4 linked regions of the Nothobranchius furzeri genome follow. The protein of the gene in region 2 interacts with the protein of the main gene of each other region in a pairwise test. Links are inferred from orthologs where the notes say so. Each region holds a gene or a part of one and is shown on either strand. Other genes may lie near its edges.

Region 1 (4,198 bases), on a different chromosome or scaffold from region 2:
TAAAAACCTTCATGAAACTTATCCACACATTTCACTTATTAACAAATATTTGTTAGCTAACGTCAACATGTTGTGAACAATCTTTCTCTGCGTCAAGCTATGTGTTGACCACCAAGTTTAGAAGTCTTCGCTCTTTTTCGTTCGCTGGAAAATCAAGAGTTAGCTAGTTAGGACTACTAAATTAATACTAAATAAAATACGTAGAAAACGATCAACACTCTAATAACTAAAACGAATCATTACATAATCCAAATCACGAACTGGCACGGCGAGTCAGCACTCAAATGTTAGTCAACGTCTTCCAGTCGGACTTAAAAACAAAGGGGGCAATAACGCTTCATTTTACTACGCCTGGGTTCTTCTGGAGGCTAGCGTTCCCAGCTAGGCTAACTGGAGGGGCTAACTCAGTGATATTTACTTGTTCTAGAGTGTCCCACAAAGACAGAGGGATGTCCCGTTCCCGCTCCACACCTATCCAGCCGTCGCTTTGGTCTTTCTTCTGCTAATCCGCATAGCATTCAATGGTATTCCGACAAACATAACGACCCGTGTAATCCCCAATTCACAGTTACCCTCTGTTTTTTTCTTACAAATTCCGAGAAAAAAATAATGGAGTTTTGTTTTGCGCAGGCGCACTGAGCACGTAAGGAATATTGTACCCAACATGCAACGAGACATTTGTAGTGTTCCAGTCAGACGTCAATCCACAGGGGGCGCTGTTTGGTGGACAGGACATAACAGAATAATATTCCGTAAACAACTAATAAATACACAAACAAATAAATGTATTATATTTGTGTACAACGTTTTAACCTCTACATCAACAAAATACACCTTTGTAAAAAAGTATTCTGAGTTGGAGTTAATACTGGGCTGACAGCTCAAAAATATTTTGTATATAAACAGAGGAAAAACTTTATAGGATTATTTGTTACAAATGAAATAAAACAACGAATAAAGATGCTTGCTAGAGTGGTTGAGTTACATGGCAGTTATTGTTTAAAAATCAATGTTTCTTTTATGTATTTATCCAGCTTTTGCAGCATCTACTAGCATTCAGAACAACTTGAACATATATATAAATAAAATAGTTTTTACAACTTTGAAAGAGATGTAGTCATTTTTGTTGTTTCTCCTTGGTCTCCCAAAAGAATGGAGGGATACAGGCCCATGAGCAGGACAGATACCTTTGTGTGTGTGTGCGTGCGTGCGTGCGTGCGTGCGTGTGTGTGTGTGTGTGTGTGTGTGTGTGTGTGTGTGTATGTGTGTGTGTGTGTGTGTGTGTGTGTGTGTGTGTGTGTGTGTGTGTGTGTGTGTGTGTGTGTGTGTGTGTAGAGAACATATCTGATTTCTCATCGTCACTGGTGCTTAGTTTGAGGTCCTTCAGCTGTTGCAAACTGTCAACGTCACAAAGCAGTGCTCAGCCTGTCATGCTCACAATTACACCCATAGATACACAAACTTACAGCTTTAATAAATATCTGGGTCGCACTCAGCATTCACGCCCAGTGTGGGAATAACCTGAAGGAAACACAGAGGGACCATACAGTACTGGATCCAGAAGTGCTGAAAAGTGAGGGAGCATTTTGGTCAGTTGGTAAGTCAAACTCTGCTTCAATGGCCACATAACACTTCAGAAAAATCTAGCAGGTGAAGGGAAGCATTTTTTTATTTACCTTTTCTGTGTAACCTCTAATAACTTGGTAAGTGATGGTGAAGTTTATGTGTAATTTTTAATTATGTCTCAAGTAGCAAAAATGCCTAATGGAATCGTTTTGTAGGAACGTTGTGTGAATGCTACATCCATTTAGCCCGTTATTTACTCATTTTTCCTGAAATTCTTTTATGCTGTCTGGAATATTTTCCTGACATGCAGCAGTTCCTAAATTTAGTTTTCAGATCAAATTTCAAAAACCAAGAATAGAGCAGGTCAGGATGACAAATGCTCTTTACCACTGTTTGCTACAAGGTATTAGCTCCGAATGTCACACAGAGAGAGACTAAAGACATGTTTTATGTCTCTGCTTGCTTTATAGTTAATAATTTGACCAGATCCTTGTCTGAAATAGTGAATTTCAACTATAGCAACAATTTCCCTTGTCATCCAGGAACGTGTTTGGTGCTTAAAAACAAACAAGTCCTTCAAAATGTAGGCAAATCAGAAAAGAAACATGCAATCCAAAAGATGTGGCCTTGTTTTGCATTTAGGAAAAACGAGCTACTGACAAACTGCAAGTGCATCTTGAGAAAAGACAGACAGTAAAATGTACATGATTTCTTTTAAGGGTGCAGTATACTGATATTTCCAGCACTCCATGGATCAGTGAGTACAGTTCATGTCCATGTGCTGCATGTTTCTAACATCTCTGTGGGTTTCACTAAATAAAATCTGAGCTCTAAATTTACCAGTGCGACTAAAATCAGGTTTGTTTGAGGTGATGAACGGGGAATCTTGTTGAAGCACATCATGGTTCTCCTCAATGTTCCTGGTTTAAGAGTTCACTCATCAAAAAGGTGTGTGTTTGGATTTATATGTAACTGGTCTGGATCCTGGAGCCCTATCACCAGCTGGTTGATGTTTGTGCATGATGGGAAAAGGTGCGATGTAAAAAAAAATGTCCTTCAAACTTTGAGCAGTTTTCACATTAACGTTTGCTGATAAATCTCCTCACATGATCCAGATGTTCCCTCTGCGATACGTTTTTACACCACAGTCATGGCAGGTGGCTTCAGTTGGTCTTCATCTTTCTCTTTGTGCTTCTTAGAGAGGATGACAAAAACTCCGTGGACATCCACGACAATCCTCCAGCCCCTGACAATGTAGTGAGGGAGGAAGGAGACACGGTGAGTGGCAGCACCACGTCAACCACTCGCTATTAGCAGCCGTTCTCAGGCTGATTAAAATAGCCTCCAGCTGGGACGGGACTGCAATATGGTGTTTGTTTATATCTCATGAGTTAATAAATAAGTCCTGATCACCTGTATGGAACTGTTCTCTTCTTCGTCTTTGCTTGCAGGTCTATTTTATTTATGAGGAGGAGGTGGAGGTAGAGGAGAAGGAACCAGAACCTCCTTCCGAGCCCATTGTTCGGATCAATGACAAACCTCACAAGTTTAAGGACCATTACTGCAAGAAACCCAAGTTCTGTGACGTCTGCGCTCGCATGATAGTCTGTACGTGTTTAACCCAGAAAATATCACGAGACATATTTTGAGATTTATGATGATTCGGTTAACTTTGCACATCTCTTAGTGAACAACAAATTTTGTCTGAGGTGTAAAAACTGCAAGACCAACATCCACCATTCGTGTCAGTCCTATGTCGAGTTCCAGAAGTGCTTTGGAAAAATCGTGAGTTTTCTCTCTCTCACACACATTTGAATTTAAATGTCTAAAAAAGCACTACAGGACTAAATGGAAGGTTTTAGTTGAAATTTTTTCTTTTTTTTTCTTTGTCTTGTAGCCACCTGGCTTTAGAAGAGCCTATAGTTCTCCTCTGTACAGCAGCGACATCCCAGATCCAAGTGAGTCCATCAAACCTTCAATCACTCCTAGAATTAGTAATCCTTTATTTATTACTGCTAAATCAGAGTAAAATAATTAAATTTTACGGTGAATTCTTTTAAGCAGATGTGTAAAATTAGTAGGGAGGTCGGAAATATCGACATCAACATCATATCGGCTGATGTTTGTTTTTTATCTGTGTATCGGTCCAATAAGTAAAACTTGGCTGATACTTTCTTCCATCTAGTTGCTATTGTTGTATCTTGGAGAGAGATGGTCATGCAGTGAATTTTTAATCATGTCAATCAGTCAATCAATCAATCATTGAGAGCAATCTACAATTTATAATGGTTAGAAGTGCCCAATGTTGAAAAATCTTCCTTACAAAGGTGTAATTATATTTTAGGGATGTCCGTTACTAACAGCTAATGTTGGCATTTAAGGTGCATTATGTAGAAATGAAGTAAATATGACAATCTGTGGTAAAATCTGGTTGCTGCAATCACTTTAAACAACTCTGGAGCTTTTTGCCGGCCGTAGTCAAATTACAACTATCGGCGCTGCAGTATTAGCTCGCAGGAGACACAACAACCCCACACTTGTCATGTTCTGCGGGTGGTGGGTTTCAGGAGGCAGATGAGCAGGCAACGGATGAAAAAATTAAAAGATGTTTAATCGTAGACTGGGAGCAACA
Region 2 (4,191 bases):
CTGTCCTGGGTCTCCCTTTAAGTCTCCTCCTTGTTGGATGTGTCTGGAAAACATCACCAGAGTTCAGGAGGCATCCTAACCAGATCTACTCTGATTCCCTCCCAGATGACTGAGCTTCTCACCCTATTTCTAAGGAAAATTCTGGACATCCTGTGGAGAAAACGTCATTTTGGCCACTTGTGTCTGCAACCTCTTTCCTTCGGTCAATACCCAAAGCTTGTGACCATACTATAGATGAGGGTCGGAATGTACATGGACCAGTCTTCCAGCTCATCTCTCTCTTTACACCACAACAGGCTGCATTACTAGTACAACACCCTTATATACCTAAACATCTCCACTTGAGGCAGGACCTAGTCCCTGACCTGGAGAAGGCATTCTACCCTTTTTTGACTCAAAACCATGGTCTCAGATTTGGAAGAGCTGATTATCATCCTGTCTGCACTCGGCTGCGTACTACTCAAGTAAACGTTGGAGATTATTAAAATATCTAAAATAAATTTAAATATGTACAAAAACATTAAAAACTTCCATTAAGACAAGTTAAATCCAAATTACATGAAGAGAAAAGAAGGGCAGCAACAGTTTTTTTACAAATGGCAGTTAAAATTAGGATTTCTAATGAGAACATGATATGATGAGACAAAATGAAAAAGTTTGCATCTTCTTTCATTTATTTAGCACAATTTTATGAAATGCATTTTTAGAAAATGCTTTATCTGTCTTTGCTACCTTCTTGTGCTATGTTTTTGCACCTTAAATGTGTCTTTATCAAAATGTACCATGTTTATCTACATCGATATGACGTAACCCTATTTGCGGTGCAAGTTGGCTTGGTATGTGGGACTACCTTCAATTATTATAATGACAATAAAGGAGTAATCAAAAAAATTAAATAGGCATTTATCATTTACAGTGTGGACTGAGTTTCAGAGATCCTTAACACATTTCTCTGTATAGAATTTCCTTTGAAGGGGCATTAAAATACAAATACTTAGCTAAGTATTTCAGATAATTGTAATGAATAGTTTGACTAATAAGAACAAAATTCCCCTAAAAGGAAAAAAAGCAGGCATTTCTAAAGAAAAGAGAAAAAAAAGTTTGGTTTGAATATATGCTACAGTTGCTTGCCATAAAACTCACCAAACAATTCCCCGGATGAGCGCACGCTGAAGGCCTGCCTAATCGCGCAGCTCCTGCGGCTAACGTTAGCTGCTAACGGTGCGAAACATTTCTCCCAAATCTTCGACTCAAACTGCAGAAATGTTTGGTTCTTCGAGATCCGGAGGCTTACGAGGAGGCCAGGATCAGTTTAACTGGGATGACGTGAAAGTCGATAAACACAGAGAAAATTATCTCGGTAAGTACGTGCGTCTAGCTGCGCTATCAGTGCTAGCCAGAGTGGGCGAGCAAGCAAGCAACTGAGCGAGATAGTTCAAATCGTGTTAAAATGCACACTTTGGCCCCACAGGCGTCTTCCCATACCTTTTGTATTGGAGTCCCTCATTACACAGATCTTGGATGGTTTTTATGGCGTCTTACTTTCTACTTTACACACAGCAGGACCCTACTTTCTTTTCCACCTCTGAACCCTGAACAGAAAGCAGGTAGGCTCTCCGCTCCCCCTGAGCGCTGCCAACTAGCTAGTCAGCATGCCAGACACGAGCTACGTAGCAGTCAGCGCAAATGTGACCCAAATGGGATCAAAAGTCACATTTCTGTTTGGAATGTTGTGTTTTGGGGTTCAGGTCCATCTTGACAGTTGTTGATGTTAACATTGTCTGATAAAGAACTCATGGATGCTAAGCTACAAATGTGGAGTTTCTCTAAGAGATGCTGCACACATTTTTCCTTATTAGATATGAACCTTTAAAAGATTTTCATGGTCATGCATGAAGACAAGACTACCAGACCAGATCTTAAGTGTTTCAAAGACTGCATAAATGTTTACAAGTGAAATGTTTAATATTTAACATTATGCCACTCCTAAGTTTATTCAGTAAATAATTCAATTCAGGTTATTAAATAGTGCCAAATCAAGAGAAGACTCGTCTCACAAAGTTAACATTCCAATACAGTTCAGTTCATTAAGCCAGTCAGTAAAAAGTTTCCAGCAGATTGCATCAAGTCACTGACTTGTGTCAGTGTCTTTGCAGCAATCTTCATACTAAGCAAGCATGTAGCGACAGTGGAGAGGAAAACTCCCTTTTAAGAGGAAGAAACATCCAGAGGATCCTGGTTCAGTATGAGCAGAAATGAAAGGTTACCCCTATTTCACACTGGAGGCATCAGCAGTGCGGAACGGTTTACTTTCGCTGCGTGCCAGTACACACTGGGAGAATCTCAGCCATGGACCGGCTTCTCTGCCTCGCTTAAAGTGACAGTGTGTATTTTTCCTGGTGATAGGGGGCAGTAGATACCTAAATTGTTGCAAGGAAGCTGTATTTTTGTGTTGGAGTAAGACTTTAATAATGGATGCCCATTAGGGTCAAAAAGCCCTGGGGAGTGCAAACTTCAGTAAAATGCAGCACATCAGGCTCCCTTTCATCAGTGGCAACAAGTGAAGAGGTAAATGTGTAAAACAACGTTTATGAATGGTGAAAGTTTTGCAACAGTTGTTACAAATCAGTAATGTATTTTGTCCTCAAGGGCTCCTGTAGAAGGAAACACAGCATCTAGTATGGCGTCACCGTGAGACTTTGATCCTCTTCCATGTATTTTAGACCAGATTTTTATGGTTATGTTAAGAAGCCGCCAATATTTTTCAACAACTGGGCCTCATTTAATTCATGTTCAACATTTTGATGGATATTTCCAGAGATTAATGATAAAAACTACACATTGTCTCTTTAACTTGCAAGATCACAAAATCCCTCAAGACTTCAAAGCAAGGCCCGACCGATATATCGCCCGGCCGATATTATCGTCCGATATTGGGGTCATTAACACTATAGGCTATCGGCCAAAAAGATGGCCGATATGGCCGATATTGTGCTACCGATCCAGCAGATGGCACCAGCTTTATGAACTCATGTTGTGTGGCTCCACTACTTTGAACACAAATGATTTATGCTGTGACTGAGTTTGTGTGTTCTGTTGTTTTTGAGATCTGCTTAATAAATCTTATTTGCATTACTTGGAAACCCTAGTGAGTTATTGAGACAGTTCTTTGGTGTGTAACAGAGAAATAAGTTTGTATCAAAAAGGCAGAGAATGAGGGACATTTATCAGCCATTATATCGGCTATCGGCCTTTGTTAAAAGTTTTATATCGGTATTGGCCCCAAAAAAAGCATATCGGTCGAGCCCTACTTCAAAGATCACGGTTTGTTTATACCATCTGCTATTAATCCAAAAAGAAGTAAATCATGTTTGATGTCATAGATGATGCTGTTTCTCTCCACTGCCAGGATTAAACCCATGAAAAACACACCGCTGCACTTCTGGAACGATGCTGGGAGTAAAAAAGCTGTTAGTTCACATTTGTTGACGTAATCTACATATATGGGAAATGACATTGCTGCAATAGTCTTTCATTTTGAAAATTACCCGGGCATTTTACACTGAAACCGTGTCTAGCCTGTCTAGCCCTATGTTAACTTCGTAAATGACGTGTCCCAGAATCGGTCCACGGCAAAAATAGAACCTGATCTTCAGCGGCACGGCTGGTTTGAATCACCCCCATAGACTTTAATGGATTCTATTTTGAAGCAGTGCTGTTCTGTGCCGCTTATTCTTCCAGTGTGAAGTAGGGGTTAGAGTTAGAAACGTTGGTATAATGCAAGCGAAACTGGATTGCAGATTTAGTCTTTTTTCCTTGTACGCACATTCTCCTTTTGTTCCAGGAAACTCTTTAAAGGCACCAGTAGGACGGTGGCAAAAGGGGAAAGATCTGACATGGTACGCTAAAGACAAAAAGACTGGGAAAGCTTTGTCCAAGGCAGATGAACTTGCTTCTGTGAAGGCAGCAGAACACGAGGCGATGATGGCTGCCTTGTACGTGGAACTCCTCTTCAAATACATGTTGGTATCTATGAAGTTCAGATCATAAAAATATTTATTTATGTTTTAAATTCTCATCTAGAGGACACAAGAGTATAAAGAGACAACCAACTGGCCTTACCAAAGAGGTATGTGACAAAATGGAGAACATCTTTAAACATTTTAACGTGATTAAAAATGAATTCATTTT
Region 3 (4,024 bases), on a different chromosome or scaffold from region 2:
TCTGTGGATTCACTGCCTCATGTCCATCAAATGTGAGTTAATTAACTTTACATCTTCACATATCCATCTGTTCGAGTGTTATTACTCCACAATAAAACAATTTTTATCATGTATTTTTAAATGGACAGAGATTGGAGCAGACTGCAAGTGCTGCACTCCTGGAATGAGGATTTTTGTATGAAAAATAGTCAGTTGATGATGAATCACTGCAGTCCAGATTTAATGAGGGACCTCACATCCACATCATCTCAGAGTGTTCCACGTGAGAAGATGCCTCAATCAACAGTATGGTTTGCATTGAAAACCTTTAGTTTGTAATTTGAAGATGTTGATTTTATTTTACTTCACTTATACAGAAAAAGAACAAAGCAACCAGGAAAAGTCAGTTTCATTAGGAGTGATGAGTCAGAAAATGTGACAGACTAGAAATAAAATAATTATAATCATATGAATGCAAACTCTACATAGACAATGTGCTGTGAGAATGTATTTACACCCTTACAGATTAGTTTTTTTAGTCACTTAAAAATATCAGATCAGCAAATAATTTATACTATCAGATAAAAGTGATGGAAATGAACACAACATGCACTTGTTAACCAATACACACATTTACTAAGGGAAATAAAATTATCCAAACTAATTATCCCACTTGTAAATAAAATATCCCAGGCCAAAGAAGCAAATACTTTAAATCTGTCTCTTGATTAACAAAAAACACTGTGATGATTCACCAAGACTTTGGGGAAAATATGTTGTGAACTGAAATGTAACTTTTTGTTGTGTAACATCTGGAGTAAAGTGAATTTCAACAGTCAAACACAGAGGTGGCAGTGTGATGGTCTGGAGCTGCTTTGCTGTAATTGATGATTGTTTTGCTGGAAAACACTCCAATGTGGCTGAATGAAAACAATTCTGTAAAGAAGAATGGGACAAAGCTCCTCCACAGTGATGAGAGACTCTTTAGTTACCACAAAATTGCAAAATAAAGTTCAGGTGTCCACAGAGCCAAGGTGTTTTAGATCAAATCTGGGAAGGTGGCATATTTTCTCAGGTTATCTTTGATCCAGGACTTTGTTTATGTGACGAAAGAGCACAAACAAAAGAAAAGAGTAAGGGGGCTGGTACTTTCCCACAGCCCTGCAGGAGGAGTTAGTCAGAAGGAAACAGATGTAAACTCGGCGAGTTCTGTGTCTTTACGCAGACCTGAAACAGTTTGGAGCTCTTCAAAGCCCTCCACTGTCCCCTAGCTCCTCCCTCTCTGTACCGTGTGACAACAACAACTCATTCACAGAGCGGAGCTGCACTTTTCAGCTCATTTTCCTCCTGTCATTCCTCCTCCTATCTTTGATCATTGTCCCGCCGCTCGCCCCCCCTCCAACCCCCCCAGAAAGCTCTCACTCAGCACGCCTTTTTTCGGGTTAGCTCCTGAGGAGCTAAACTCTGAGGGATTCTTCATTCAGCAAGCTGGGTTTTCCACTTTGAACTTCGGCTCCTCTCTTCCCCTCCTCTAGGTGACCATGGCCGTACCGGCTGCTCTCATCCCACCGACTCCTCTGGTCCCGCCGCCTCCGATCTCTACTCCCTCCGCCACCACGTCCCCGCCGTCGACAACTTCATCACCGTCTCCATCCTTGGTCCCCCCGTCGGGACCCGGACAGAACCTGTTCCGATCGGAGCTCCTCGCCACCGGCAGTCCGGGCATCCCGAACCCGAGCGCGGCTCTGCCGCCGGGCAAACCCGTCTACTCGACCCCGTCTCCTGTTGAGAACATCCCGCAGAACAACGAGTGCAAGATGGTCGAGTTGCGCGGCGCGAAGGTAGCCTCGTTCACGGTGGACGGCTGCGAGCTCATCTGCCTCCCGCAGGCGTTCGACCTGTTCTTGAAGCACCTGGTCGGCGGACTGCACACGGTCTACACCAAGCTCAAGCGGCTGGAGATCACGCCGGTGGTGTGCAACGTGGAGCAGGTCCGCATCCTCAGAGGGCTCGGCGCCATCCAGCCCGGTGTGAACCGCTGCAAACTCATCTCCAGAAAGGACTTCGAGACTCTCTACAACGACTGCACCAACGCAAGGTTAGTGGAGCGCTCCGGCGTGTTTAAAGGTCCCCACCGAACCGTGCGTAAAGGCGCACGAGCAAGCAAGGGGGAGACATTTTCCCCTTTTCGCACAAACACTCTACATCCAAATACACAGTTCCTAATTTGTCCACGTGCATGCATGCATGTGTTTGTAAGAGGATGTTTCATGCAGATGCTGGAGTGTGTGTTGGAGCGAAAGAGACCAGCGCGCATCATGGAAAAAGTTGGGTGAAAGTTTTTAGCACGTGCACACTAAAGCTGAACATTGACATTTTGCTTCAGTTTCATGAATTCGGAATCAAACAATATAAATAAAACAGGTAAACAAAGATATGAGAGCTGAATCACGAAAACATAATTTTATATTTTTGTTTTCTTAAATGAAACTCGAGCCAGTTCCATTTAATTTTCCAGAAACAATAAAGTCTCAAAGAGCAAGAGCAGTTTTCATAACTTTGTTTCCTCTTGTGTTTGCGGCCTGAATCAGATATAATTCATAGTTGAATAAAGTAGGCTAATTTAATTAGTAAACTTAGTTTAATTTTACATTAATTAATTAACTGAACGTCCCTAATTGTTACAAAACAAATACAATAACTCAGATGTGTGTATACGAATGCACCAAATCAAATAATTTCAGCCTTTTAAAAATAAAATCTGAGTGATTTAAGCAAAGATCAATATTTGATTAAAAGTCGTTTTCATCCTCCCCTGTTGCTCCTGTATTTTTGATGCATGGCTCAGCCTCACAGGATGGTTCAGCCTGGTCAAATTTACCATCCCACCTGTCACTTTGATTGATTTCCCATCGATCCCCTACCCAGAGATGAGCAGGAAATGCAGATATGATGGAAACACTCATCAGTGATGGAGGACAGAAAATAAACACTTAAAGTTATTTTGGGTGTCGTTTAAAATGATCTATTTTATAAGAAATGCTGAGTTAGATCAATCCCAGAACCACACATCAGGAGATGTTTTGTGCCAAAAAGATTCATTTTAATTAATTAGATTTATCCTAATAAATGTGTTAATTAATTAGGTCTGAAAATGCTAAACTAATTTAATTACATCTCAGATTTTCATGTTGTTTGTATTTAAATATATTTTTTTTTTACAGTTTTAGCCTTTAGTTCATTTGTTTTATAGCTGATTTATAATGAATTCAGCCTCACACGTCGTCAAGAAACATGATGCAGCTTCAAATTCTCATTCCAGTGCAGCAATTGTCTCAACAATTCACCTCTGTACTTTGGTGCTTAAGCATCATTTACATAAAGCATCAAGGGAGCTGAGCATCACCCCACACACACACACACACACACACACACACACACACACACACACACACACACACACACACACACACACACACACACACACACACACACACACACACACACACACACATCCCTGCACACTCCGTGAGTGGTACAGTATGGTGTGGCGTGGCGGTGTTGAGCTCCAGGTGACAAAGTATGTGGCTGAACTCTCCGGGTTGTCAATGGGGGGATGGCCAGCTATGGGGTTAAAGGATAATGCAGTACCTCGCGTCGCTTTAATGACGCTAAAGTGCTGGGCTATTACGGGCACATGGACAGGACTGTAATTGTCTCTGAAAGCAGCCAGGTTCTCCCGGTGCTGGGCTGAAATCAATCACTCAGACCTCGGCCTGCCTGCCTGCCCCATTTGGAGAATTACATCATGGAGCAGCGAGGCATCCTGCAGGATAAAAGGCTTCTGTTACTTAGAAAGAGTTGATTTTATTTGCAGGGATGAGCGCTTTGCTCTTGTCTGTTGCTGAAATGCTGCTGACAAAACGATCACTTTGAGTAAACAGGACACAGGTTGCCCTGGAGGTGAAAACAAGTCCCTCTCTTTAAAGTTGTGCTTTTTCCACCAGTGGGATAAAAGTATCTGAGTTCAGCGGTTTACCCCGCT
Region 4 (4,244 bases), on a different chromosome or scaffold from region 2:
TATTTAATTAGAACGGGGCTAGCTCTGGTGTCCAGGGATGGTTGTGTCCTCTGCGCAGTAGTACCTGGTAGTGATGTGTCGGTCGCGAACGAACCGGCTCTAAGAGCCGACTCTTTGAAGTGAACGATGGGAGCCCTCCCCCTCCCCCCCTGCCTTGGTGAAAGCTGCAGGTGATTGGTCAACATGTGTAACTGCGTGTCCAGACTGTCCACACACAGAGCAGTAGGGGCGGAGAAGAGGGAGGATCAGACTCAGACACACAGCAGAGCACATGCGGGCGGAGGGAGGCGAGCGGGAATGAGGAGGAGGAAAAAGGCAGAGAGAGGAGAGTGCGACGAAGACGGTGAGAAAATTAGCGCCAGCAGTCGGAAAGTGGAGATTTCTTAAAGTGTTCAGTTATTAAATCCATAGAAATGATAAATATTTGATACACAGCATTTTTTTACATTAGTAAATCATTTTACAAATAGTTTTGCATTATTTTGGTTATAAATGTATTCTGCGCAAAAGAAAATCTGAGGAGCCACTTGGGAGCCGAAAGAGCCGGCTCTTTTTGGTGAGCTGAGCCATTCCCATCACTAGTACCAGGACCAGAGTGAATAGGGTGTGTGTGTGTGTGTGTGTGTGTGTGTGTGTGTGTGTAAGCATGAGGGATGCATGTACGTCAGGTGGGGTCTTGGACTCCTCTCCTCTGCTGAGACATCTTGAGGTGTTACGACATCTTCGCGTACCCTCCTGCCACTTGTTCTACCGGTGGGCGGTGCCTCGGTCTGCCTGCATATCTAAATGCACTATGAATTATTATGGTATGCTTCCCAGCATAAGCAGTTACTGTTATATATCCTCATGCTGTTGGAGCAGCGATGTTTTGTCTTGTTGTATTTTTGTGTGTCTCCTTTTCACGCTCTCTCTCTCTCTCTCTCTCTCTCTCTCTCTCTCTCTCTCTCTCTCTCTCTCTCTCTCTCTCTCCAGAAGCTGATTCTTCTTCATCATTTATTATTTATATAATTCATCCTCCCTCACCTCTTCCTTCACTCTCCCCCTTTCTCTCACAGCTGTCTCTGTGTCCGAAAGTGTTGCTAATAAAGTTTTGGTGTCAGCAGTGGCTACGGCAGAAGCTGTGAGCTCCACCTGAGAGAATAAAGCTGCAAGGCTCGTCTTCAGCAGTCAGACATCAGTTCTGGTTGCTTCACAGCCGGACAGGACACGGTAAAAAGACAACAAAAGGATATTTGTATGAAATCAAGTGATAGTTATTAAAAGCATTCAAAGAAAAGATGTTTTTTGTCCAACTGCTCTTCTGTGACTATTTTATTTTATCCTTTACTTATTTTATTTTTATTTTTTTTATCTGCAACGATTTATAATAAAAAAAATTCTAACAAGTTTCGCTTCACACACTAAAATGACAGTTACCAGGAAGAGAGGCCAATCAGGGGGCAGAACGCGGGTCAGGTGACCCTGTCTCCGCCGCCATGTTTGTTATTGGCAGTGAAGCCTGATCGGACTGACGGCAACGAGGTTTGGCGGAGGTTCGGTTCGTTTTCTGGGATGAAACAATGGTCCAGACGTGCTCAGCCTATGGCTGTAAGAACCGGTACCACAAAGACAAAGATGTCTCCTTCCACAAGTAAGTTCGGCTCCGGTGTTTCTGCGCCGACTCTCGTTAGCCCGCCCGAGCTTCGGTCCGGTCTCAGAAACAGCCTCGTTCAGTCACAGCAGTCTATTCATTCATGTTTTCGTGCTGAATGAAGCAGAAGTCCGAGCAGCGGCCTCACAGAGGAACCACCTGTTCAACAGGTGTCCAGGTGTTGTAGTCCCATTAGTCTGACATGTTGGAGCAAAACCAGAGCAGCTAGTGGTTAGGACCAGTTTATTCTACAAACACAGAAACACCTCCAGTTGTCCAGACTGGTGGAGCATAAAACCAGGTGTGGCGAGGCCTCAGGCTAGATGTGGAGGGGCATCAGAGCAGGTGTGGAGCAGCAGCAGCCAAGTGAGGAGGAGCATAAAACCAGGTGTGGAGAGAACTCAGGCCAGGTGTGGAGGAGCGTCGGCGCAGGTGTGTTTCACACTTCCTGGTGTTTAGATAAACATTCAGTACTTCAGTAAAGTTGCTGTAATTAATGCGGCGTCATCGGGTCACGTGGAGAAACTCAGGTTTTTATTAAAAGTCGTTTATTTTATCGCTGGAATCATTTTGGATTTTTTCACTAAAATCTTCATCATTCTGCTTTCTCACAGATCAGCTACAGAGGCTGGTTCTGGCTCGGGTTCTGGTTCCTCCAGAACTCATCAGTCACTTTGTCTGAGTTGACGTTTGTTCATTTTCATCACCACCACCGTGCTTTGCTCTGATGGAGTGAGAACATGTCCTCCTTCCGGTGGAGGTCATGACCTCCATGCTAATCATCTCTGGCTGTAGAGACGGTCTGGATTTGTCCTCAGAACCAGAACCAGACCAAAGCTCCGTCATCCTCTCCTGATCTAGAGCAGACTGGACTCACAGGATGGGTCCTTTTTAGTCCACTGGACCTGGTTTCTTTTCTCAGCCTCTGATGGTTTGGGTTCCTGACGGTTCTTGAAGACGTTTCGGATCTTCTCGTGTTTCTACCTGCAGCCGTCGGTTTTACTGAGCCCAGTTGTGTTTAGAAGTAGAAGTGATGAGGTAGTTCTGTTTCACCTGTCTTCAGTGTTGGGAGTAACGACGTTTAAATATAACGGCGTTGCTAACGGCGTTCTTTTTTAGGTAACGGAATAATTTAATTGATTACTTTTCCCACTGCTGCAACGCCGTTACCGTTACCACGTGCTTGTCGAACGTTGAGCAGCAGCGTGAGGCTTTCTGACCGCCACACTTCAGCTGCAGCCAGGGAGAGAGAGGTGTCGGTAACGCACTTACAAACACGATGGTGATTGGCCGGGTGGGCGGAGACCCTCACGGTCTCAGTCGCTGCATTCTGTAGACACAACAGAGCAGTGATGGGAATAACGCCGTTTAAAATAACCGCGTTAATAAAAAAAAAGTGTTCCTGTAACGAGCAAACTAATTAATTACCGTCTTCTTTTATCAAAACGTCATTTCTGTTACTGATAAGGAAATGCGTGCGTTAAGCAGCGCGGTGTGTTGAAGCTGTCATCAGCTGATCAGGAGCTAAAGAGGTAGATGTTTTCATCCAAGAGCATCACGGACCGTGAAGAACGAGGAAGACGTGATGAATGATTCGCTGCTGCAGTAGCGAATCTGTGGGTCTGCAGCCGTGCTCTTAGCGTGACAGCGGGACGTCCCGAAGGTCCGCTCACCTGTTCACCTCTCAGACGTCCTGATCTTCTACCTTCCTAGATCATCCAGCTGTAACCTGTTTCTGATCATGTCTTTAGTCCCGCTGTAACACTGATGCATCAGTCTCAGACGTCATGGAGCTCAGGTGTTATCAGAACTACCTGTGTGTGTTTACCACCCAGCTTCAGCTCTTCTGTGGTTGGGTCTGACCCAAGTTAGTAAATGTAAGTCCTCCATCAGGCTTGTGCCTCTTCTAGTGTCATTTTAAAGGATTTTATTTATTTATTTAACCGTTACTAGATTACCTGCAACAGAAATGCTACTAAAAACACACAATTATGTGAAGCTGGAAAAATTAAAATACCGTAGAAAATTACATTTATTTCTGTAATTTAACTAGACTGAGAGACCATTTAAAGGCTCGGGAACCTTTACAGGTGTTTCTATTTGCAATTTTAAATGTTAGCTGATTGGGTTTTTGTTAAATATCACACAGAGACCTTTTAATAGTCTAGATAAGTGTAATGTTCCTATTAGTAGTTCCTCCTGTTAAGTGCTTATTTATTTAAATTATTCAGGTTTTATTATGTTCCAGTCATTAGTCATTTATATTTCACTATTATAGTAATTCTTGCATTCTTTAATGAAAAAAGTAACTAAGTAGTTATTTTTCTTGGTAATTAGTTACTTTTATAATCTTGTAACTGAGTTACTTTTTTTGACAAAGTAATCAGTAACTATAACTAATTGCTTTTTAAAGTAACGTTCCCAACACTGCCTGTCTTCATCTGAATGACGTTCCTGTGAGGACTTCACTTCCCCAGCTGTTGTACCATTTGACGTGTTTTCCCAGGTTTCCTTTGGCCCGTCCAGATGTTTGTGGGAAATGGGTCGCTGCCATGAGGAGGAACAACTTCAAACCCACCAAGTACAGCAACATCTGCTCCCAGCATTTCACCAA

The links.
Region 1: the proteins of c11h1orf35 (region 2) and stac3 interact in binary tests that used the Homo sapiens proteins (3 or more experiments, as listed by UniProt). The two-hybrid records come from large-scale screens. The link is inferred for Nothobranchius furzeri from reciprocal best matches to the Homo sapiens genes C1orf35 and STAC3.
Region 3: the proteins of c11h1orf35 (region 2) and dachd interact in binary tests that used the Homo sapiens proteins (3 or more experiments, as listed by UniProt). The two-hybrid records come from large-scale screens. The link is inferred for Nothobranchius furzeri from reciprocal best matches to the Homo sapiens genes C1orf35 and DACH1.
Region 4: the proteins of c11h1orf35 (region 2) and thap1 interact in binary tests that used the Homo sapiens proteins (3 or more experiments, as listed by UniProt). The two-hybrid records come from large-scale screens. The link is inferred for Nothobranchius furzeri from reciprocal best matches to the Homo sapiens genes C1orf35 and THAP1.

What each region holds. Positions count from the first base shown.
Region 1 is NC_091755.1:32,734,711-32,738,908, forward strand, and holds the start of stac3 (SH3 and cysteine-rich domain-containing protein 3), read left to right. Parts: upstream 1-1,398; 5' UTR 1,399-1,597; intron 1,598-2,285; 5' UTR 2,286-2,315; coding exon 2,316-2,323; intron 2,324-2,765; coding exon 2,766-2,844; intron 2,845-3,017; coding exon 3,018-3,174; intron 3,175-3,253; coding exon 3,254-3,351; intron 3,352-3,463; coding exon 3,464-3,524; intron 3,525-4,198. UniProt on the Homo sapiens protein: Required for normal excitation-contraction coupling in skeletal muscle and for normal muscle contraction in response to membrane depolarization. Required for normal Ca(2+) release from the sarcplasmic reticulum, which ultimately leads to muscle contraction.
Region 2 is NC_091751.1:49,802,850-49,807,040, reverse strand, and holds the start of c11h1orf35 (multiple myeloma tumor-associated protein 2), read left to right. Parts: upstream 1-1,385; 5' UTR 1,386-1,450; coding exon 1,451-1,607; exon of another isoform or gene 1,608-1,626; intron 1,627-3,844; coding exon 3,845-3,995; intron 3,996-4,083; coding exon 4,084-4,129; intron 4,130-4,191.
Region 3 is NC_091754.1:28,370,444-28,374,467, forward strand, and holds the start of dachd (dachshund d), read left to right. Parts: upstream 1-1,224; 5' UTR 1,225-1,520; coding exon 1,521-2,077; intron 2,078-4,024. UniProt on the Homo sapiens protein: Transcription factor that is involved in regulation of organogenesis. Seems to be a regulator of SIX1, SIX6 and probably SIX5.
Region 4 is NC_091746.1:71,097,268-71,101,511, reverse strand, and holds the start of thap1 (THAP domain-containing protein 1), read left to right. Parts: upstream 1-1,444; 5' UTR 1,445-1,559; coding exon 1,560-1,630; intron 1,631-3,372; exon of another isoform or gene 3,373-3,505; coding exon of another isoform or gene 3,506-3,507; intron 3,508-4,136; coding exon 4,137-4,244. UniProt on the Homo sapiens protein: DNA-binding transcription regulator that regulates endothelial cell proliferation and G1/S cell-cycle progression.